3 linked regions of the Struthio camelus genome follow. The protein of the gene in region 1 purifies or fractionates together with the protein of each later gene. This does not show direct contact. Links are inferred from orthologs where the notes say so. Each region holds a gene or a part of one and is shown in the gene's direction. Other genes may lie near its edges. The genes, in order: DICER1, AGO1 and AGO3.

Region 1 (6,958 bases):
TTCTCTTGCAGTAGGGAAAATACCCTTATTTAGAGTTATGAAGTCTGGGTCATTGAAGTGTGAAAGCACTAAGGAAAAAGATTGCAAATAGCATCTTAGAGGGGACCAAAACTTTGTGCAAACCTCACACCTTTTTAAAATCTCAGCTCCAATTTTAGGAATGGATTCAGTTCAAATATAGGTTCTTGCTTTCTTTCAACTTCCTCCTCCATAGTCACACCTGCATCTTTTTCTCATAATACATTACATATGTTACTATTAGCAGTGTAGCCACACTTAATGTTTGTAACTGTCTCTTTTCTGCAGTGGTTCACAACTATGAACTAAAAAACCTGGTAGCCAGACAAGAGACTGGCTGAGAGGAAAGTCTCAAGTTAAATTTTCTGAAGGTGGGTGCAGAATAGTCACATCCTTTCCTATCCAGAAACTTGCTTACAACACTCTGGCCTGCAGTTGTTTCTGGATAACTGTCAGCTTATTTCAAAGTATATTATTGAAATAGTGTATGATATAGGGACAAAACAGCATCACGGCTGGTACCAGCAACAGAGAACAACAGAGGTCACCATTAACTTGCAAGAAGAATTATCTTCAGAATCCATTTTAGAATTTGAGAAGATAAATCAAATCAAAAAGCACAAAGCCTATTTTCTGCTGGCATAATTTCAAAATTCTATAGCATGCACAAGGCTAATTACTGAGTTTTGCAGAAACTGCATTTTTGCTTTTTTCTAACCTAAACACAAAGGTTTTTTTTTTTCTTACCCAATACGAAAAAAATAGAAACAAAACATACATTTTTGGAAAGGGGAAGGGAGAGAAATGTTTCTGTTTTCCTGTTGTTGTCTTACAACAGTTATCTCATTATCAGTATTTCCAGTTCTAAAGAAATGGAGAAAGCTATAATTTGGTGAATTATTCATTTATGCTGTTCTGGATTTTAATTAGCTGAGCTATTCAATTCCTTTCCCCCAATGGCCTGTTTGTTTTTAATCAAACATTGAATGTCAAGTAGTTGGAAATATGTGGGATTTTTAGAATTTTGTATTGCATTGATGAATTCAGCTTAATTTTCTTTACAAATCTTTTAAAGACATTTGTGAAATCAACATAAAAATCAATTTTTGATTTGGGGTTAAACTCTGACAGCTAGCTGTCACAATACAAGCATATGACATAAAATATCCATTCCTTACAAAGGAGAGAAGCTAGAGGTGATGGAATAACAAAGTACCGCACAAAGTTGATCCTAACTGTGCTTTTAAATCACAAACTCCTGTCAGCAGGCTTAAGGAGGAAGTAGCTGTGGAGAAAGACATCCTTTTCTTTATACAAAAATAACTTCCAGAATTCTTTTGGCATTTATATGCATTGTTTTCTGTGTTTTAAGAATTCTGCTTGCCTTCTCTTTGAATTGGATAAAATTGGATAAAATTCATTATTTAACCATGGCCTGCAAAGGATTGAAGAGAGTTTCCTTCTGCTCTATTTTACATTAGAAATAATCAAGAATGCTAATTTTCTTCAGTACTTCAGCTAAAATTGGAAAAATAGACACGTGTTCTGACAGCTCCCACTGGATAAGACTTAACAGCTGCTCCTCTTCTTAAGGTTTTATCATGGGATAGAATTAGTCTTCCATCCATAAAAACAGAAGGATACCCTTTGCATGCTACAAAAATACTTAATACTTCAATATTTAATAACATTAGCATTCCAGAAGAAGAGTTCTAAATGGCGACAGAGGTTTTAACCAAGTAAAGAAAGCACTTAATTTGATAATACTCTAGGCCTCCAAATCACTTTTCTCCCCAAATCATTTTACTAGAGTTTAAACCGTATAGTGCTCCAGTCAACTTTACCTTCTCAAACTGATTTTGTAGGCACACATAGTTGCATTATGCAAGGCAGTAAATCCCTGGTTGAGTGGGAATGGAATGAAGAAGGCTGCATCTCCAGTGCCAGATCTTCCACTGCATGTGCATAAAGTTTAGCACAACTTAAAAGGAGAGTGGTTAGCCAGAGGCAGCTTTTTATTAAATTTATGATCTTATTATAATCTGTTATGGAACAAGGAGGATCTCCAATCCCTGTGTAAGTAAATGTGATCTTACGATAGTCCTAACTTGCCTGCCTGGACTACCACAAACGTAACTTGTGCTATACTTGCACACCTGAAACAGCTTGCAGTGTTTTGCAGGGCCAACAGGATCAGTGAAATACAGTATACAACCAAATTTATCCACTGAGGAGACGAGGTGCCAGGAGCAGGCAAAACAGAGCCAGGTATGTAAATTTACATTATTTAAAGATTTCCTCGCACAAGAACGACCACATTGCCCACATGTGGCTAAATCTTTACATTGTTGGTGTAGTGATGTATGAGTAGTCCACAGACTTGACTGTTCGTTGGCACTATGGGCAGGTTTGTAGTCTTGTTCTTCTGAGCTTTAAGTGTATTGCTCTCATTACTATGGTAAAGTATACTTGATGTGGAAAACACATTTTTCTCTGCACAGACAGCATAAAAATTACTTCAAAGTAATGGTGCTTTTGGATATGTGTGGATATGAGTGAAGGACATGGAGAAAAAGTTAAGTAGGAAAACTGAATTAACAGTACAGATTTGCACTGCTTACATCCATCTTGTAGCACAGTTGGTCAGCGATTTCATTTGTTTTCTGGTTATACTGCAGCCCAATTCATACTTTAGATTTGTTCAAAGCTCTTTCATTGTCTTGCAAGTTTCACCTCAGTTTTTCCAGGGCACAGCTTCCAGATTTTGATATCAATGGCGTCACAGAAATAAAAGGTGGAAAATGGTAGTATGTGAAGTACCAGAAAAATTGTGTTCTGCTAATGTTTCAGCACCATACTTTTCCCTTATCTTGGGTTCTTCATCTGTGGGCACAGGTTTTTGACACTGGAGAAACAGTTACCCCGCATCAACTGTCTGTTTAACCCAAGGGATTTCAGGTTTTTTTTTTTTTTCTTAACGTAGTAGTAGTAGTTAGTAAAGTCACTTAAGCAAGTAAATGTTGACAAGAAACTGGAATGAGGCCCGTGGTTCAGCTAGCTGATACTCTGCCTCAAGCAATTGCAAAAGGAAGTGCTGTTCAGGGAGTACAAGAACCTCGCCACTGCCTGTGGTCCTTTCTTCTTCCACTGTCATTGACTTTGTGATGTTCGGAGGTATCTATCTCCCTAACTTTCCTTCTCTTTGGTATCTGTTTATGGACAGTATCAATCTATTCTTTCTTGAACCACTGATACTATTTGTCCTGTGGTGGCAATGGCTTCCAAGACCTTTCACTTTTATTGCTGCGAAACATTCATTTTTGACACCGTGATGAGAGAGACCTGTTCAACTTTCCTTTGTAAGGATGTAAATCTCCTTGCAGTCATAAACACAGTTCACCAGCTGGATGAGATCGCACAGCAGCTCTGTTCTGCCAGCTTCGACGAGCAGCAGTGAGCAGAGGTGGCTGCTGACCAGTAGCAGCCAGACCCACATCCATCTTGTCTGGGGCTAGCGCCAGCAAGAGCCGAGGGCGCTAGCTCCATGGTGGAAGAGCGGCTCTTTTCCTTTGGCAGGGAGGATACTCCTCAGAGAAATGACTGCCTCTGCGTAAGGAAAAAGTGGGATATAGCAACAGAGTAGCGAGGGAGGCCCAGATTCTGCTCGCCCTGAGCAGCCCTGCCTCAGCGGCAAGAAAAACTCCCTGGAGGCGGCCTCGCCGTCCCCACAGCCCGCACCAGCCTGGGGAGCCTCACCCCCTCCCAACATGGCGGGTGCTGCCTCGCCTCAGCCGAACGGCCGCCACCGCCTCTCGCGCGCGAGCCCCGCCCAAGCGCGTGCGCGGGGGGGGGGGGGGGGAGGCGGAACGAGACACGGCACCGGCGGCTCGGCGCCTCGCGCTCCTCCGGCCGGGGGAGGGGAGAGGGCACACACGTGAGCCCCTGGACCACCCCGCATCTCCTCAACCGCTGCTGTATCTCGCCATCTCATTGGCTAGCCTGTGAACCTTTCACCTTTTACCCAGCTGTTGCCGCCAATCGCCTGGCTCCTTTCATGCTGCGGGGATGTGGAGCGTGTGAGCTGCGCAGGGTGACATTCTCGGAGCGGGCTTGCGTTGCGGGCGTTGGGCGGCCCCTGTTGGTATGGGCGGGAGGGGTGGGGAGGTGCTCCGTTTGCGTAGGGCCGGCAGCGCAGGGGGAAGGGAGGGGGAGGAGGCTATCCCGGGCCCAGGTGAATGGAGGAACCTGACAGTTGGGGGGAGCGAGGAGGCGGCGGCGGGGAAATGGCGGCGGCGGCAGCAACACAATGAGACGCGGCCTGTAGTGGGGGGAAGCGCCGGGCTGGGTCCCGTCCGAGCAGGTAGGAGATGGCGGCCCAGGCGCGCCTGCCCTCGCCGCGGCGGCTGCATGGCGGCCGGGCACGGGTGCCGGAGCCCAGCGCCCGCGCCGGCCCGCGCTCTCCCCCGCCGCGGCCGCGCCGCGCCGCCGGGGGGTGGAATGGCGGCGGGCGCTGCCTCCCCGCCCTCCGGCCGCTGGCCCCGGTTAGTCCTGCCCCGCCTCCGTCCCAGCCGCCGTCCCCGCGGGCGCCCCGCTGCTCCGGCCGCCGCCAGCACCGACCTCCGCCATCGACCCCAGCAACTTCCCGCCGCCGGCAGGGCCCGGGCCCCGCGCGTCGGGTGGCGGCAGGGCCCGGCCGGCGCCGCCGCCGCGCTCCGGCCCCTCTCGGCCGGCTTTGTCTCGTCGCTGCGCGCCCCGCGGGCAGCCGCGCTCGGGGCCTGCCGCCGTGCGCGCTTGAGGGCCCGCGCTCTGCCCTCTCCGGGCTGCGGCTTCCCGGAGCGGTTGTGCCGTGTTGCGTGGCGGGGGTTGGGGCGAGGAGTGCAGGGCAGCAAACGTGTTTCCACTCTTCGGTGCTACGGTTAAGGAGTTATATGAAATTCTTAGCTCTCTGCTTTTCTTTTTCTTTTTTCTTTTTTTCCTCCATCCTCGTCCAATTTAAGTGAGGACTGTCCGCATAGAGCGGCAACGCAGTGGCAACGTGGTTAGGGCATACCTTATACTGTGTGATCTTAGGCTGAAAAGACAAAAGATGAAAAAGCAAATATTTTTTGTAATAGGATTTAATACTAGTGAGATAATAGATAATGTAGAAAATCCTCAATAGATAGAAAAAGGATTGTAGCAATGACATTTTGAAATATTCTTTGTTTATTTATAGAAATGACTGTTTCCAAAATATAAGTGACTGATGCAATTGTCTTCAACTGCTAAAAGTCTGGAGGATGCTTGGCGCCTCAGATAATGAGTTATGAGTATTCTTGGTGTTAGGATACTGAGCTTCAAGATATGCAGTGCCTCGCCTGATGAAAGCATGTAGGTTGGAAGGTGGTTGCCACTCTCAAAGAAACAAGACAAAGGGCGAATCAAATCAGAATTAACTTTGCAGAAACTTGGTTTACGCTGTTTTACTGTGTTTGAAGGGCTTTTTGATTTACAGACCATTTCGGATGCCCAGCTGAAGTGCAAACAGCATACATGTTTTTTATTGAGATAGATGTGAGGGTTTCCTTGTGGGTGTGGGTGGGTTTTTTGTGTTAAGTTGATACAGATGCAAACTGGAATTGATTTCTATTAAGCCAGAATTATTGTCCTAAATCCTTAAGAGGGACTTTCCTGTTGTCTGTCTTTACAAGATACGTTGTAATCTGTATAACTATATAAAAGGCTTGAAGATGCTACTAGAAGTTTTCAGCTGGAAGGGGCGTGCACATGTATGATCTCCCAATTGTTTCGTCATTGTTCTTAATCCATAGGATTTAAAAATGTGTATGTATTTGTTCAGACTCTGAATTAGCTACTGCTGTTTAGGAAAGTATCTTGATCTGATAGAGTTCAATGAAAATGGCAGCTCAGTACTCATCAGTAAAAAGAAAATAATGTTAGAATTTACAAATAATTGACAATCAAATGGCATCAGTATGCTATTGTGCAAGTCCATGCTGGACCCTTACTTTTAACACTGCATGCAGTTTGGGTGTATCTTTCTTCCATATGCCAAAGGTTATGTTAGACTAAGAAAAGGTAGAGAGAAAGCTGACTAGGTGGCTTAAGTACTAGAAATTTGTAGCCAGTTGAGATGCCAGAAGAGGAATAAGAGAGATGTCTATGCAATATAGTTGTGAAAAAAGCAAGTTAGGAGCAGTTGTTAGGGTTTCCCTCCCCTCCGCTTCTTTGAGGTTTCTGTAGTTGACAGATTCAAATCAAACAAAAGACAATCTTTCACATTCTGTTTAGCTAGAATACCTGCTTCAACAGCACATTGGGAATGCCAAAACCTTACATAGAGGTCAAAATAATTGGTTTGTAAAGAAAAAAATTCATCGGAGACTGTCAAGCACAAAGACTTAGAAAATGTCAAGGTGACTGGTCAGTGGAAAGTAGTACTGCTTGCCTAGCTATTACGTTCCTTCCTACGTGTCCTCCACTGGTCACCAGTAGAGGGAAGCCAACAAGCTAGAAAGATATTTTGTCCGACACAATGTTATTCTAATGTTTTAACATAAATTACACTGATTGATTGAGAAATGCCTTGAAGAGTTGTAGCTTAAAGATTAACAACAACAAAAAGGCTGAACCTGTAACTCAAAACACTGTTCCCTTGGTTTTTTTGTATATTCCCTAGATCTTTCTCATTTCCCATTCCAAAAATTAGTAAGGGCTTTTTCACATTCTTCAGGAAAGTTCATAGGTGGTGCAAAGTTGCTTTAGCATACCTTATTACAGAAACTGAGTATCACTGCTTCACCCATGTTGCCTTTCAGTATGAACTGGGTAAACTTGTATCTCTCTGTAACCAAATGCAAGTTACTGGCAGAGACAAATAGAAGGTGTTTATCCTTCTTGTAAAGGTCAGTAACTTAGTAAAATGGATATGGTAAACTTG
Region 2 (7,545 bases), on another chromosome or scaffold:
CAAAAGTGTGAGAAGTCCAACGATTGCACTGTGGTCTCTGATACTAGTGTGGGGTTTGCTGCTAAGTTGTCTGCTGTTCCAAAGCTTAGGAACCAGCCCCCTCAAAATTTCAGCAATATGAAATGCTGTTTCCTTCAGTCTTTAAGCTTGTAAATAAATTAAAGTTTACATTTCTAAATGCTGTTTTTCAGTTGTACCAGAGTACACTGAACTTAGTCTTCAAGCAGTTTTATAACCTTCTTTCAAGTAGTATGTCTCATTAAATTAAGTTTAAACTTTTTTTTCTTTTCTGTTGAAAATGGGACTGAAGCAAACTTTGCTCCTGGCACGTATTGTGGACAGGTTTAGATTGAAAACAAAATTCTTTTTAGTTTTTTTAATTTTTTTTAAAGAATACCTCACTTGTGTAATAAAATCAGGACATGTGGGTGGGAGACTGACCGCTGCTTCAGCTAGATGGCTGCTTTTCTCAGTACTCATTCAGGGAGAATACAAAAAACCCCTTTTCAGAATGAACTCCGACTGACCCGACGTATATGGAGAACTTTGGCACCTTTAAGAGAAATTGAGCACCCTTCTTAGATTATAGAATCAAAGATCATTGCTTGGGTTTGTGCACTAGGCAAGAATGTAACTGGTTTAATCAAGGGTGCATAAGAAATACTTAGTTGTATCACCAGTTAGTTGTCCAGTGCCAAGCACTCCTAGTTCAGATTGAGTGACGTGAGAGCCTCTCCTTCGTTTGCCTGTGATTGGACTGAATATTTGACCTCAGACTATACAGATTGTTAGACCTCAGCTAGCCCCGGGAAGCAGGGCGAGAAATTTAACTCAATCTTCACGTTAGAACGTTGTTGTAATGAAACACTGGTAAGGGTGCTGTGCTGTCACTTTGAGAGGAGAAGAGCATTAAGGTTAGGACTGTTGCTTGGTGGTAACTACGATCAAAGTTTCAGCAATACTGTTGTACGCAGGTCTGAAAGCCGAGTCTAGAGGTTGAGCCTGACGATCTGAATTAACCCCTTGGGACTGACTGAATCGTTATGCATGTGTCAATCAATGGGAAGATGTGCATTCTGTAGATGTAGTTCTTAGGGTGGTTTTTTTTGTTTTTGTTTTTTAATAAATAAAGCCTGTTGGCCACTGTTTAGCTATGTGGTGTGAAAGATTTTAAATGTAGCAAAGTTTTTAAAGAGTTGGGGAGGGCGTGGTTGACATTTCAAAAACAACAACAACAACAAAAATAGCAGAAACCCCGTTTTCAAACCAGTTCTGCTTGCTTTGTGAACAGCTGAATTCTGAACAAGCTCTGGAAATCACTAGTTAGCCTGTCACAAACGTTTGGACAGCCTGGCTTATTTATTCTTATTGTAAGTACTACAGTTCAGTTTAATGCCTGGAGAAGCATCCAAAGGGCATACAGGGTTGTGATATACAGGCAAACATGCTTCATGCAGTACATTATCTCGTTCCAGACACAAGTGTCAGAGCTCATTTACCTATATCACAAGCTTTGCTCTTCAAATGGGTAAAGGCAGCTTTTGTTCAGATACGGTGTTTGACAGAATCCACCCCCCCGCCCCAACCTACCTTCGTGGATGTGCTGTAGGATTTTTCTTGCTCAATAGCAAGGGAGTAACTCTGCTTTCATTTTAAGAAAGCAGAGTTTGGAGGGCATTGTATCAATACTGTTTCAACTACAAGGTTTTTTCCTTGTGAATTTGAGGAAAGATCTTGTAATATCACTTACAGATTTTCATATACCTTGCTATTGACATTTTCATATTTCTATGTCTAGAAGCTGAAACTTCAATGTAAAATGTTTGCATTTGTTCATTTTGACTTATGATGTAATTTTTGTTTCTATATTGTTAGACTTGTAATGTTTAAAATTGTATTTTATTAAATTTGGACTGGATGTATGTCTATAGCAATACGAGGTACTCTTTCTAAACTGTTATGGGTGGGTTAGCAGCCCCACGTTGCGATAAGATGCTGGTCGTGTACAATTTGCAATGTATTTTTTTTAGCCTGCAGGGATATTTTGTGTTCATGTGTCCAAAAATAAAAAAAAATGGCATTATTGTGCCAAATGTTGTTTTTCCTTGTTGATGTCTAATAAATGCAATGTACAGAGTGAGCAACTGATACTGTTGCCTGTAAACAAATGTCTTTCTTAAATTATTTAACTTTTAATTAAAACTCGTACACGATGTGTAACCTGTGGAACTCATTGCCACAAGATATTTATTTCTGATATGCTAGGACTTAGAAAGCAATAGAAATATACATGGATGACATCTTCAGTGACACTCAGAGGACTTAAAACTGCCTGTTTTCAGAGCCTGTGCTAACCACATAGAGATATGTTCACAATGGGCTTATTTTTTTAATGTTCCCAGAAATTATATAGCAATGTCTTGAGAAAATATGGTGTCAATAGACTGTATCTACCTGGAGTAGTGATTCTATATTAGAAAGTCAGAAACTAGTAAATGAAAGAGCTGTATGTTTATTCATCCTCTGAATTTCAGGTGAGGGTTCGTTTCCTCTTTTGTACGGCTATCTCCCTAAAAATACAGGATAAGGACAAAAAAGCTTTCGGACGAGGATAAAACATGCAAGCTACAAATGAGCTCAGGACACATGATTGCTTAAAATAACCTGCATCTTTAGCAAATCAGTACTTTTGGGTTTTAATATTTTTTTTGCAGTAGAAATCCTGTGGGTTTGGGAATTGAGATTATTCAGCTTCAGGCAAGCTTAAGTAGTTCAGAAGCAAAAGCTAACTTTGATGCCAGTGCCTTTCCAAAATGATTCAAAGGGGAAGATCACTTGGATCAAACTGAAGAACCCTGGGGCTGCTCATGTTTTGGAGCTCCAAAGTACTTTAAAGTAAACATGTGCCTTAACCTGGAAGGAAACTCATCAGGGAATTGTCCAGCAGCCTAGAGAATGGATAATTAAAAGGCTGAGGGGCATTGGGTAGCAGAGGCTGCCTGCTCAACAGGGTAAAGGGCTTTTAGGCCTTTAGAGAGCATAACTGAAAGCAGCAATGTGGGAGGAAGGAGAAGAGAGGGGTGAGGAACTTGTTCCAGGGTTTGTCAGGTTCAGTAAAGCAACTTCACGGACAACCGACTTAACTGTTCGGCACGGTATCTTAACTAACGGTATTTTGATTCATGGTGTATCTTGATGTGTGTTCTGCTTCAGGACAGCAATTCTGCTCTCATAGTCTATACATCTCGTAGCGTGAACTGCATGCGAGCGCCATGTTGCGTTCCGCTCCACCGTAGGATCTGTGGATTCCACTATTTGGTGAGACCTGGTCTCAAATACACAGTTGAACATGGGTTGCTTCTGGCCCAGGCTTTTCCATCTCGTTTTGCTTGCTTTTAGGTGCAACAATACCACGAGAGGGGGCTCCAAACACGGCGCTCACCGGGCTGGAGACAACCGGGCACCCAACCCTGATCTTTTGCCAGCAAGGCTCTGGACAGAGAACCCTTAAAAGTAAATAAAAATTGAACACATCCCCTGCTGTTTTCTCCCCAATCTGGCAAGGAAAAAAAAAAAAAGCCTCAAAGAAACCAAACCAAAAAAGCTCAGCTGTAAAAGGCATCTCATCATAAACCCCCAAGGGAACTGTGACCATCTCAGCTCCTGTGAGCTGACAACACAGCAGGACATCAGTTATTAAAGCATTCATTTTGTTAATTGGTGGCTCTATAACTGAAGGCCGCCCGAGGAAAGCTCTCCGAGGCGTCCTGCTTCCAGCGCGGCCGCTCTCGTCCCCTCCTGGGGACGCGATGAAGCTGCGGCGCCCGCGCTCACGGTTTCGCTGGGGCCCCCCTGCCGCCTTCTCCGCGGTACATGCTGCGCTCTGCGAGCGCGCTGGTCTGGAGGAAGGGGGGAGACAGGGGGAAGGAGGTGGGAAGCCTCGGGGCCTTTCTCCTGGCCGAGCCGGTGAGCGGCGACGGTTTCTATCGCGTTGTCCCCGACGAGCCTGGAAACCTCGTGCTGCCCTCGAGTCCTCCGACGCTGGCCGCGGCGGGGGCCCCGCGGCCTCAGATACCGAGGAGAGGCGCCGGAGCCGTCGGCTTCGCGTTGTTCGCTCCTGCGGGAGCCGTTAAGATTTTGGAAAGAGACCGTCCAAAACGTGAGAAAAATCGTGACTCGGGTTGGTGGCATCTCTCCACCAACCCCCCCCAACCCCCCCCACGCGAGGCGCCGGCCGCCTTCCCGCCTCGCGGCGGGCCCAAGATGGCGGCGGGAGGGCGGCGGGCCGCGCTGCGCCGCGCCGCGCCGCCAGGGGCCGCCGGGGGCCGCCGGGCCGGGCGCGCCGCCTTTGTTGGGCGCGGGGCGGCGCGGCGCATGCGCGCTGGGGCGCAGGCGTGGAGGCGGCTGCGGCGGGCGGCGGTGCAGCAGCGGCCCCGGCCCCGGCCCGGCCCGGCCCGGCCCTGCCCGCGGCCCCCCCCCCCGCCCCCTCCCGGCCCCCCGGCGCGGAGCGGTGCGGAGCCCGCGTGGATGGGATGGAAGCGGGACCCTCGGGAGCAGGTAGCGGCGGGGGCTCCGCAGCGGGGGGCGACTGCAGGAGCGTGCGGGGGGGGGGTGTGCAATGGGGGGCGAGGGGTGCGCAGTGGGGGTCTGTAGCGGGGGGCGAGGGACGTGCAACGGGGGTCTGCGTTGGGAGGCGAGGGGTGTGCAATGGGGGTGTGCAGTGGAGGGCTATATTGGGGTGAGGTGTGTGCAATGGGGGTGTGCATTGGGGGCGGGGGGTGTGCAGTGGGGCTGTGTAATGGGGGTCTATACTGGGGTGAGGTGTGTGCAATGGGGATGTGCAATGGGGGTCTGCATTGGGGGGGCGAGGGGTGTGCAGTGGAGGTGTGCAATAGGGGTCTATATTGGGGTGAGGTGTGTGCAATGGGGATGTGCAATGGGGGTCTGCATTGGGGGGGCGAGGGGTGTGCAGTGGAGGTGTGCAATAGGGGTCTATATTGGGGTGAGGTGTGTGCAATGGGGATGTGCAATGGGGGTCTGCATTGGGGGGGCGAGGGGTGTGCAGTGGAGGTGTGCAATAGGGGTCTATATTGGGGTGAGGTGTGTGCAATGGGGGTGCTCATTGGGGGTCTGTATTGGGGGGGCGAGGGGTGTGCAGTGGAGGTGTGCAATAGGGGTCTATATTGGGGTGAGGTGTGTGCAATGGGGATGTGCAATGGGGGTCTGCATTGGGGGGGCGAGGGGTGTGCAGTGGAGGTGTGCAATAGGGGTCTATATTGGGGTGAGGTGTGTGCAATGGGGGTGCTCATTGGGGGTCTGCATTGGGGGGGCGAGGGGTGTGCAGTGGAGGTGTGCAATAGGGGTCTATATTGGGGTGAGGTGTGTGCAATGGGGGTGCTCATTGGGGGCGGGGGTGTGCAATGGGGATGTGCAGTGGGGGTCTGCATTGGGGGGGCGAGGGGTGTGCAATGGTGCTGTGCAGTGGGGGTGTGCATTGGGGGGCGAGGGGTGTGCAATGGGGGTCTGCATTGGGGGGGCAAGGGGTGTGCAGTGGGGGTCTGCATTGGGGTTGAGGGGTGTGTGATGGGGATGTGCAATAGGGAGCTGAGGAGCGTTGTGCAATAGGGGGTCTGCAGCAGAAGGGCAGGAGGTGCATATTAGGGGGACGAGAGGTGTGCGGTGGGGGGTGTGCGGTGGGGGGCGAGGGGTCTGCAGGGGTGAGGAGAGAGGTGTGCCTTGGAGGCCTGCATTGGGGGCGAGAGGGGCGCGCTGCGGGGCTGTGCGATGGGGGGGTGAGGAGTGTGCAGTGGGGAGCCCTGCAGTGGGGGTTGAGGGATGGGGTGTCCGGGGGGACCCTGCAGTGGGGTTGCCCCCCCCCCCCCCCAGAATCAGGGAGCTGTGCAGGGGGAACTGAGGGGGGTGCAATGTGGGGGTCAGGGCTGTGCAACGGGGGCAGTAGTGGGGGCCGTGCCGTGGGGTTGCACAGAGGGGCATTACGCAGTAGAGGGGGGAGAGGGGGGTCCCGGGGGGCGGGGGGCTGCGGTGTGGGCGCAGCGAGGGGGCAGCAGGTTTCCCCCTTCGGGCTCCTCCGGGGCGAAGAAAAGGGGCGCAGGCTCGGGATGCGCCACGCTGCTCCTTTTCCAAGGAGAGGCGGCATCCTCCTCCCTCCTCTTCCTCTCCTTGCCCGGCGCCGGGTCCGGCACGAAGCGGCTCCTCTGCTGTCGCCGCGGGGGGTTCGCCCCCCGCGCGCCCGGTTAAACGTGGGAGCTGCGGGCCGCGGATGGGCGCGCGGGGTCGTCGGGAGCCGCTCCTCGAAGCTGCGCCTGCCCGGCTGCCGTGTCGGCTGGCGCGGGGTTCGCAAACCGCTGCAGTTCGCGGAAGAGTTTTGCTGCCTGAGAACGGGGCCGGGAGCCGGGCAGAGGGGCGCGAGCGCCTCGGCCGGCTGCGGCGTCGCCCGGCGCGGCGCGGCTTCGCTGTAAAGCAGCTGCACGCCTGAAATCCAACTTTGATCCTTCTTCGGCGCAGTTCGCTTGAAGCGTAGCGGAGACGTCTTCGTGTCTGTGCAAACCGCTGGCAGCTAGAAGGGGACGTTCGGCGCTGATTTATTGGCCTTCTGCACGCGGTGATTTAGAGATTAGCGCGGGAGCGGGGGCTTTGCCAGCGGCTTGCTGCGCCTCCGCGGGCGAGATGGGGCTGCTCTGTGCCGCCGCCGGGAAAAGGCGGATAACGCCGCTGCCGTGCCTCGCGTGCTGGTGTCGCGGGGCTCGCGTCGTTCCGTGAAGGTGCTTTAGAAATGGGTCGGTGCTTTTAACAGTAGCTAACGCTTGTTTAAGCCGGGAGCGCGTCTGGCGGGGTGGTGCGCGGTGCCGGGGGCGCGGAGGGCTCCGGGCTGCGCTGGGAGCTCTGCGATGCTCTGCTCTTCAGAGCTGCCCTTTCGCCCCCTGCAACATCTTAACGTTAAGCCTGGTTCCCGAGCCTGGTGCTGGCGCGGAGACGGTGCCTCCCGACGGGACGGGACCGCCCGGCTCACCGTGCACGCGCGGAAAACCAACAAACCCCGCCGAGAAAGAGCAGCAGCGCCGGGAGCGCCTCTTCCCCCGCGGCGGGCGGCTGGAGGGCGCCGCGTCCCGACCGCGAGCCGAGCGCGCCTCGTGCCCGGTTTCCGCCGGCCGGCCGCGTGGCTGGGGCTGGGCGCCCGCCGGCTCCCTGGGGCGTCCGTCCCGCGTCGGCGCCGTGCCCCTGCCGCCGCCTCCCCGTCGGCGCGGCGGAGGGGAGCTGGGGGGCCCTGGGGCAGGAGCGTCTACACGCCTGGTGGTTTTCGAAGCTAAACCCGGTTTCTCCCCAACTTGCAGGTTTCTTTATCCCTTGCAAACTTCCTACGCGCTGTTAATCTTAACCGTTGTCTTCCTGTGCTAAACCCTGCAGAAAACCCGAAGCCGTTGTTTCTGCGGGATCTCTTTTATCTTCAGGAAACATGAAATCACATGTGCGCGTTTCTAGGACAGGATTATTCCAAGAAACAAAGCCGGGAGAAGCACCTCGCCT
Region 3 (7,345 bases), on another chromosome or scaffold:
AGCAGTCAAAACCCCCGTTCACACGTAGCGGCTGTGTGGCTCGGCGGTGTCAGCCCGCCGTCTCGCTGGAAATTCCAGTGAGGACCATGCAGAGCATGAAACCAAGATGTGGCCACCACCGTGGAAGTCCTTTTTGGTCTTTGCTCTCTTCTCTCACTGTCTGGGAGCTCGGGGACGGCTCGGGCCTGCTGTCAGCTGTGGGTGTTCGAAGGCCAGGAATGTCCCACGTCCCCTCCGTCCTCCTTATTGTAACTCGTGGGCCTGGCTCACCTCTGTCACTGCAGGTCGTGGGCAGCATGGATGCCCACCCCAGCCGGTACTGTGCCACGGTGCGCGTGCAGCGTCCTCGCCAGGAAATCATCGAGGACTTGTCCTACATGGTGAGGGAGCTTCTCATCCAGTTCTACAAATCCACTCGCTTCAAACCTACCAGGATCATCTTCTACCGCGACGGCGTTCCCGAGGGGCAGCTCCCGCAGGTGAGGAACCCCTGGGCGCCGTGCTGGGCCGGCAGAGCCGACCTGCCTCTGGCTAGAGGGAAGGGGCTTTAAGGCCTGGGTTTGCCTTGCTGGCATTTGTGCTGTTTGAGGTTGTTGGGTTTGCTGAAAGGCTTTGTGCACACTGGAGGCATTGGGCTAATTCTGCTGGCGGGAGCTGGGCCAAAGGCTTGCAACTCTGGGGGTGCTGGGCATCTGGGAGTCCACTCGGGATGTGCAGGGCAGCCTGCGGCCACCAAGCAGCTTGGGACAACGGGTGTTTTGCTCTCCTCTTTTTCCACTTGTGTTTGGGTATAGACCGTGCCGAGGCAGCTTTTCCAGGAGGGCTCGCAGGGGAGAGGATTAGGTCTCTTGCTCCTGCCACTGCCTAAACCTGCGTCGGCTCCTGCGGGTGCCCTACGGGTGCATGAGAGCAGCTGGGCGTGGGAGCCAGCCCGTGCGTTGCCTCACTCTGCGCGCGGTTGTGTCTCTAGATCCTTCACTATGAGCTCTTGGCAATCCGAGACGCCTGCATCAAACTGGAAAAGGATTACCAGCCTGGCATCACTTACATCGTTGTCCAGAAAAGGCATCACACCCGCCTCTTCTGCGCGGACAAGAACGAGCGGGTGAGCGCTGCGGAGCGCCGGGGGCCGGCGGTGTCCGATTCGTCGCTGGCATTAACGCAGAGCCAGCCCGGAGCTGCGCAGGGTGGAAAGCGCCCTGCTGGCAGGCAGAGCCCTCTTCCCTGCCTGAAACACGCTGCTAAGCTGACTCTTGCATCTGTGCCGATTAGGCTGCTTCAAGAAATCCAGGCAGCTGTTTGCTGTTGTTATGAGTTACTGGGTGCAGATGATCCTGGTGACTCTCTTGAAACGGCCTCTGTCAGCTTGAAAACATCTGTTGTTTTGGTGATTGCTGTAGCTGCTGACATTGGGGCAGGAGGAATAACCCCATGCTTGCTCACAGCTTGTTCACATCTTGTGCTGTGCAAGCAGAAGTCCAAAAAACAGGACTTGCGGTGGGCTGTTCTGCCTTGCAGGTGTATATGCTATTGAGGGCGTGAATCGAGCAATTGTGAGTTTGGGAGGAGAGTGTTACCTGTGCAACAAAAGCACCGAGTAACTCATTGATTGCTATAACTTTTCCTAGATTTGATCTAAATTTAATTTTGATCTAATCTGACCAGACTCTGCCTCTACCTGATCATGAGGATTTAACCTTGGGACTGAGAACAGGTTTTGATCTTGGCATAAGAGCCGTGATACCTTACGGCAGAAGCTCTAGCGTAAACTGTCTGCAGAGATCCCTGGACTTTTTGCCCACTTAATCGTCGTTCCTGCAGCAGGATGGGCCGGTGCCCAGCCTTCAGCCTGCCTGCTTCCCCTTAGCTGTAGGTTGCTCTGTTTGAGTGTCGTGCCTGGTGTTGATGCTGGCAGGAAATGCCAGCAAGCCTGTTTGGGCAGAGGGCAGAGCAGGGAGAGGTGCTTCTGCTCCCCACTTAATAGGCGCTTGTGGAACTGCTCGGCACGGTGCTCCCAAACTGGAAATAACCCAACACTGTGGTGCTTGGATCTCTTTTTATTCCCTGCAGATTGGGAAGAGTGGGAACATCCCAGCGGGAACAACAGTAGATACAAATATCACCCACCCTTTTGAGTTTGACTTCTACCTGTGCAGTCATGCAGGCATTCAGGTACCGTGCTCCAAGCTGATGTTGTGATCCTGCCGTTTTTCCTCTGTTGTGGTTGTGAGCTGCGTTCTCGCACGTGAGACGGGGCCCTTCCTGCCGCCTCCCTTGGGGAAGGCGAAGGCTGGCCCTGGAGACGTGGGCAGCTCTGTCCGAGCGGCCGTTGCAGCGCCTGGGGGAGCAGGTGCCAGGATGGCACAGCCGCTGCGGTACATGGCACCTACTTACTCTCCCTCCTGGAGCCGAGGATCTCTTGGAGAATTTCCTCCTTTGGAGAGGCCAAATCAGCAGCTTGTCAGCTGGCGTCTCGTGCTGGGCTCGCGGTGCTCCTGCTCGTCAGACGGGATCCGTGGTCTGGCTGCGGGTGGAGAGTTGGGGACAGCCGGCCGGAGCAGGCGGGTTGCTTTGCAGCTGCCTTCCTTCAGGCAGCCAAGATTAGTCAGAAGCTGCACTGAAAAAAATTGTGGCTTGAATCACTTGATTTATAGCTGCTTCCGCAAGGGAGGCTTTTTGGCTTCCTCTCTGCCTGCAAGGACAGCGCGGAGCTGGCCCGGTTCAGGGGGAGCCGCGGGGGAGCCCGGCTCGGTGCAGCAGGGAGGCGGTGCGCTGCGCCGGTCGGCAGGTCGCTGCTGCTCGCTCCCCGGGGCGTCTGGCAACGGGGCGGCTGGGCAGCTGCTTTAGCGCTGGTTTGCACCTCGGTGCAAAGTGCTTTTTCCTGTCTTGCGGTGCCCTTGGCTTAGGGAAGGGCAGGATAGAGCGTGGAAATGAGAGGCAGATGGATGGGGTGAACCGACCTCACCTCGGGGAGGGGGCGACGTCTCCTGCGGGCCCCTCTCCCGCACAGCGCTTGCGGCCGCCTCGTGTTTGGGCGCGGGCAGCACCTCCCACACCGCCCGCTCTCCTCCCCAGGGCACGAGCCGGCCGTCCCACTACTACGTCCTCTGGGATGACAACCGGTTCACCGCGGATGAGCTGCAGATCCTCACCTACCAGCTGTGCCATACCTACGTGCGCTGCACCCGCTCGGTCTCCATCCCAGCGCCGGCCTACTACGCTCGGCTGGTGGCGTTCAGGGCCCGCTACCACCTCGTGGACAAGGAGCACGACAGGTGAGCGGCCACGCGCGTCCCCGGAGCAGGGACCGCAGGGGTGACCAGCCAGTGAGCGGCACCCTGCTTCTGTGTCTGAACGCGGCTGGATGGGAGCAGCTTTGCTGCAGAGCCGTTCCTGGGGAGACTCGCGCGTAGCCATGTCCTCGTAGGGCTCAGCCCGGCAGGAGCGGGGATAAAGGGGGCTAATACCCCGTCCTGGGCTCGCCCAGGCCCTGCAGTGACCACCTCGGGGTGTTTGAGCGTTGCTAGCCTCCTCGGGATGCCGGCATCTCTGCCATGCTGGGCACGGTTCCCAGCGCACCTAGCATGCTGGTGCTCGGGGACAGCCGCGTGCCACCATCCTTCTCCCCAGCGGCGTCAATAAGCCAGGAAGAGGTGAGCGATCGCCAGGCCCCAGCGCCACAGCGTGGGGGTCTCGCATCCCCCACGGTGGCTGGTGGGCTGGGTCCGTTGGTCGGGAGCTGCCGTGAGGTGACTGTGGGGGCTCGCCTTGACCTTGGTGCAAGGCAGAGGTGCAGATGGCATCCAGCATCCTGGTCCCTGACCTGCGCGGGGATTTCCCAACGTTCCTACGGGGAAAGCCTTAAATAATTACGCAGTGATTTTCTTGCGCTTTCAGCGGCGAGGGCAGCCATATATCTGGACAGAGCAACGGCAGAGACCCCCAAGCCTTGGCGAAGGCTGTGCAGGTTCATCAGGACACTTTACGTACCATGTACTTTGCTTGAAAGCCTAACTTTTGTTACCTCACTCAAGAAAGCTTTCAGATTTGTAGGAGCCATACAAAAAAGGAAGCATTGGGACACCTTGTTTTTTTTCCAATGAGAAATCACTGCAGGGCAGGCAGCGTCGATTTGAGGCAGGAGACCAGCACCACGGGACAGAAAGATCCAACACCTTTGTAGGATTGGAAGAGACTGATTATTTTTTTAATTTTTCTGGCTTTGCAAAATTTTGACCTGACCAAACACGTGAAGGCATTTAAGGAAGGGATAAAACTTCCAGGAGGCAGAAGCAGGTTTTCATTTTTAAGATGCAATACTATAGACTCCTGACTGTGAAATGGCGGATTTGGTCCTCCGTTGCCCACCAGGCGCTGGTAGGTATTTTTTGTGGGGTTGGGGGGAGGGGATTTTTAGAGCCTTAAAACAGAAGACTAGATTTATAAAACTAATATTTTAGAATATGAGATGCTTTAATGGGTTAAGGGGAAAAACAACTAGTTTATAGGAGAATTCTAACACTAACAGTTCCCCCCCAAATAATTCCCCCCCATATAATGTAAGGCACCCTAGCACTTAGCTCAGAACTGAAAACTGTCTTCCTTGTGTTAAAAGCTAGTTAGCTGCTGCCATTCGAAGCAACAGTCACAGACTTTTCCATGGGTGAGTGCCTTACTATGATGCTGCAAAATTTCAATGTTTTTAATCTTGTAAGGAAAATAGTAACCTTGTCTTGATGGTGGTCCATATTTCCATCGGAAGGAGTTAATTTTTATGGTCCTAAGTTGCAGTTTGTGTTAGATCACAACCTCACGGTGGTTGAACTCCATTGAAAGATGTGCACTTTCATATAGGACAAGTTTAATGGCTGCTGACCCATTTTTGTTTCCAATGTACTACTTGTTATTTAAAACTGTTTCTGACAAATGGGGGCATCTTCACCCCATGAGGACAGAAATTGCTATCGATTATTTTTTTTCTGACTTTCTATGATGGACACCGGGATTTTTTTACTAAACATTATTTTTATATGATACTGAGTCTGTTGCCAAAATACACAAGTCATTAACATTCTCAGAGTTTACATCACTGCACTTCCTGAGGCTGTGCGCTCCCGCCAGAGATCTCTAACGTTTCCTGTCCGATGCGTGCGTTACAAACTGCAGTCCACGCAGCTTTGGGGTATTCCTCAATGCCCTCGTCTCCCATGCGTCATGTGCGTTCCTCACGTGTCCGTATGGGCTGACCGCTTTCTGAACTACCACGTACCCCGACTTCAGCATGTCCAAACTGTCATAGATTCTGCTGCTAGGTTTTGCTGCTCTTTTGTGTCATGGTATCACTGATTTCATGCACAGGGTTTTTATTCTGAAAGCACACCAGATTATTCCTTAGTCAGACTTACGAAATACTTGTTATTGTCCTGGGGGAAACTCCTACTAATTTTTGTTTGTAATGGGGAAAAAGCCTTTTTTTTCCAACAGTAAAACAGTGACTGTTTTTTGGACTCATTTTGCTGTACAGAATGACCATTCTGCACAGCAGGGCAGTAGTAGCAACTCCTTACCAATAGCGTGTGGGCAGATTATCTGATTTTTGTTGATATGAAAATGTGCACAAAGCTTCCTTCGAGAGAAAGAGTTACGTGTACACTGCTACTGAGCTCTTAAGGGGAAGAGCTCTGTTATCAATTTACTGCCAAAAGTGAACGCATTTTCAAAGCCTATCACAAGCACTGCCCTTTGTCAGCATGCATTGATAAAGCACGCCTTTTTATTTTGTCCTTTCTGATGTTTAAACTTGCCTTGCTAGTAGTTCATAAAAGCATTAGTCATGTTGACCCATTGCTCTGTCCTAATACCAAGAATTCAGTGTACTGGTTTTCTTTTGGGGCAACACGTTTGTGAAAAATGAAGACATCAATATGCTATGCAAACTAAGTGCTGAGCCCACTGATGTCACGTTTTGTGAAGATCCTACATTTAGCACAGTTGTATTTTTCTCAAGACTACAGTATTTGGCTCATGTTCTCCTTTGCACCTTGTGTCAAACTCCACTGCTGTATACCTACAAGGTGATGGGGAGAAAGCCAAGAACCATTCATGGTCAGTAGGGTAGTGAGCTCTTAAGGGGGCTTTTAGAGAGTAGGGAATGAGTGAACACTAAGTGTCAACATGAGACGCCTACATTCCTATACACAAGTGCCTGCATAGTGACACAAATTCAGCACCTCTCCCATTTCATCCTCAGAACTCTGGCTTGTGTTCATTGAAAGCGAAATGATCTCAGAGGGGCTATACCCACCCACCTTGTATTAGGAAGCCCCTCACTGAGAATAAAACTGGGGGGTTATGGTCAAGGTTCTCTCTGCAAATCAGTTTGTTCACCAGCATTATGACCGAAAGCACCTTGCTGCTCTTTGGCAGCTAAGGGCAAAGGTATTTTGATTTCTACTTTTTATTTTAACGTTTTAGTTGGGTCTAGAATTCTGAAATGTCTTTTAGTAGCTGTGGCATAGCACATGCCATTTTTAGCCATTTGAAAAGAGATAGCGTGGGCATTTACAGAAACAGCTTGTTGCTCTGTAACAATTTTTTTTTTAACCTTGAGACTTGAAATGTAAAATGGACCTTTAAGATTTGCACTCATTTGTAAGGTGGCTGTTCATAGAAAACTATGAATGAAGACTTGCTGATGTAGCACCTACTTTTAACAGCAATTTTAACTACACAAAAGCTTCATGGCTTCTGAAACTCTCAGCTGTTGACTTGCAGATCGTGTTCTGCCCTTACTTCACCCTCTGCATTGGGTTTTTCATGGTTTTAAAGAAATAAATAAGCCAAACTCAGCTGCTGTGCCCTTTAAACCATATTTCCATTTTGAAGAGGTTTTAGAAAGGGTTCGAGTTACCCGCATGTTTTGTATAATGGACTATGCACTGTACCTTCCACACGGCTCCAGCATTCAGTATTTCTACCCTTTTCTTGTCCAAGATGCAAATGAGTAATTGCATGTTGAGGTGCTGTGCGTTTTGCTACCCATAGCAGATAGGTGTTAACCTGTATACATATCACGATTTGTAATTAGCCACAAACCCCACACAGTCATCCTGAATGGCTCCCGAGTCTCTACCTTCTAAATGCGCACGTGTCCGTTGTGCAACTGGAAAAACTGCCGAGTGCATGCAGATTTGTGGGAAGAGGAATAACTTTCATTTATCTGTCAATTGTTGAATGCTGTTTGTTTCCCTTATCTCATATCTGAACATAACAGGGTGCATGAGGGCAGAACAGCCCTCAGGAGAGCTTAGTGGGAAGGCAGTCGGAGTGTTCTGGTATTTGCAAG

Evidence for each region.
Region 2: the proteins of DICER1 (region 1) and AGO1 purify together in Homo sapiens (co-immunoprecipitation; 7 studies listed by BioGRID and IntAct, with this or other methods). This does not show direct contact. The link is inferred for Struthio camelus from reciprocal best matches to the Homo sapiens genes DICER1 and AGO1.
Region 3: the proteins of DICER1 (region 1) and AGO3 purify together in Homo sapiens (affinity purification with mass spectrometry; 3 studies listed by BioGRID and IntAct, with this or other methods). This does not show direct contact. The link is inferred for Struthio camelus from reciprocal best matches to the Homo sapiens genes DICER1 and AGO3.

The regions. Positions count from the first base shown.
Region 1 is NC_090946.1:67,305,840-67,312,797, reverse strand, and holds the start of DICER1 (endoribonuclease Dicer), read left to right. Parts: upstream 1-3,869; 5' UTR 3,870-4,094; exon of another isoform or gene 4,095-4,159; intron 4,160-4,161; coding exon of another isoform or gene 4,162-4,938; intron 4,939-5,233; exon of another isoform or gene 5,234-5,388; intron 5,389-6,958. Other genes in the region: uncharacterized protein C10orf95-like, read left to right, coding at 4,162-4,938. UniProt on the Homo sapiens protein: Double-stranded RNA (dsRNA) endoribonuclease playing a central role in short dsRNA-mediated post-transcriptional gene silencing.
Region 2 is NC_090964.1:10,042,756-10,050,300, forward strand, and holds the start of AGO1 (protein argonaute-1), read left to right. Parts: upstream 1-4,478; 5' UTR 4,479-4,532; coding exon 4,533-4,557; intron 4,558-7,545.
Region 3 is NC_090964.1:10,064,957-10,072,301, forward strand, and holds the start of AGO3 (protein argonaute-3), read left to right. Parts: upstream 1-4,287; 5' UTR 4,288-4,340; coding exon 4,341-4,377; exon of another isoform or gene 4,378-7,345. Other genes in the region: AGO1 (protein argonaute-1), read left to right, coding at 285-479, 971-1,105, 2,071-2,172, 3,076-3,275, 3,898-4,006.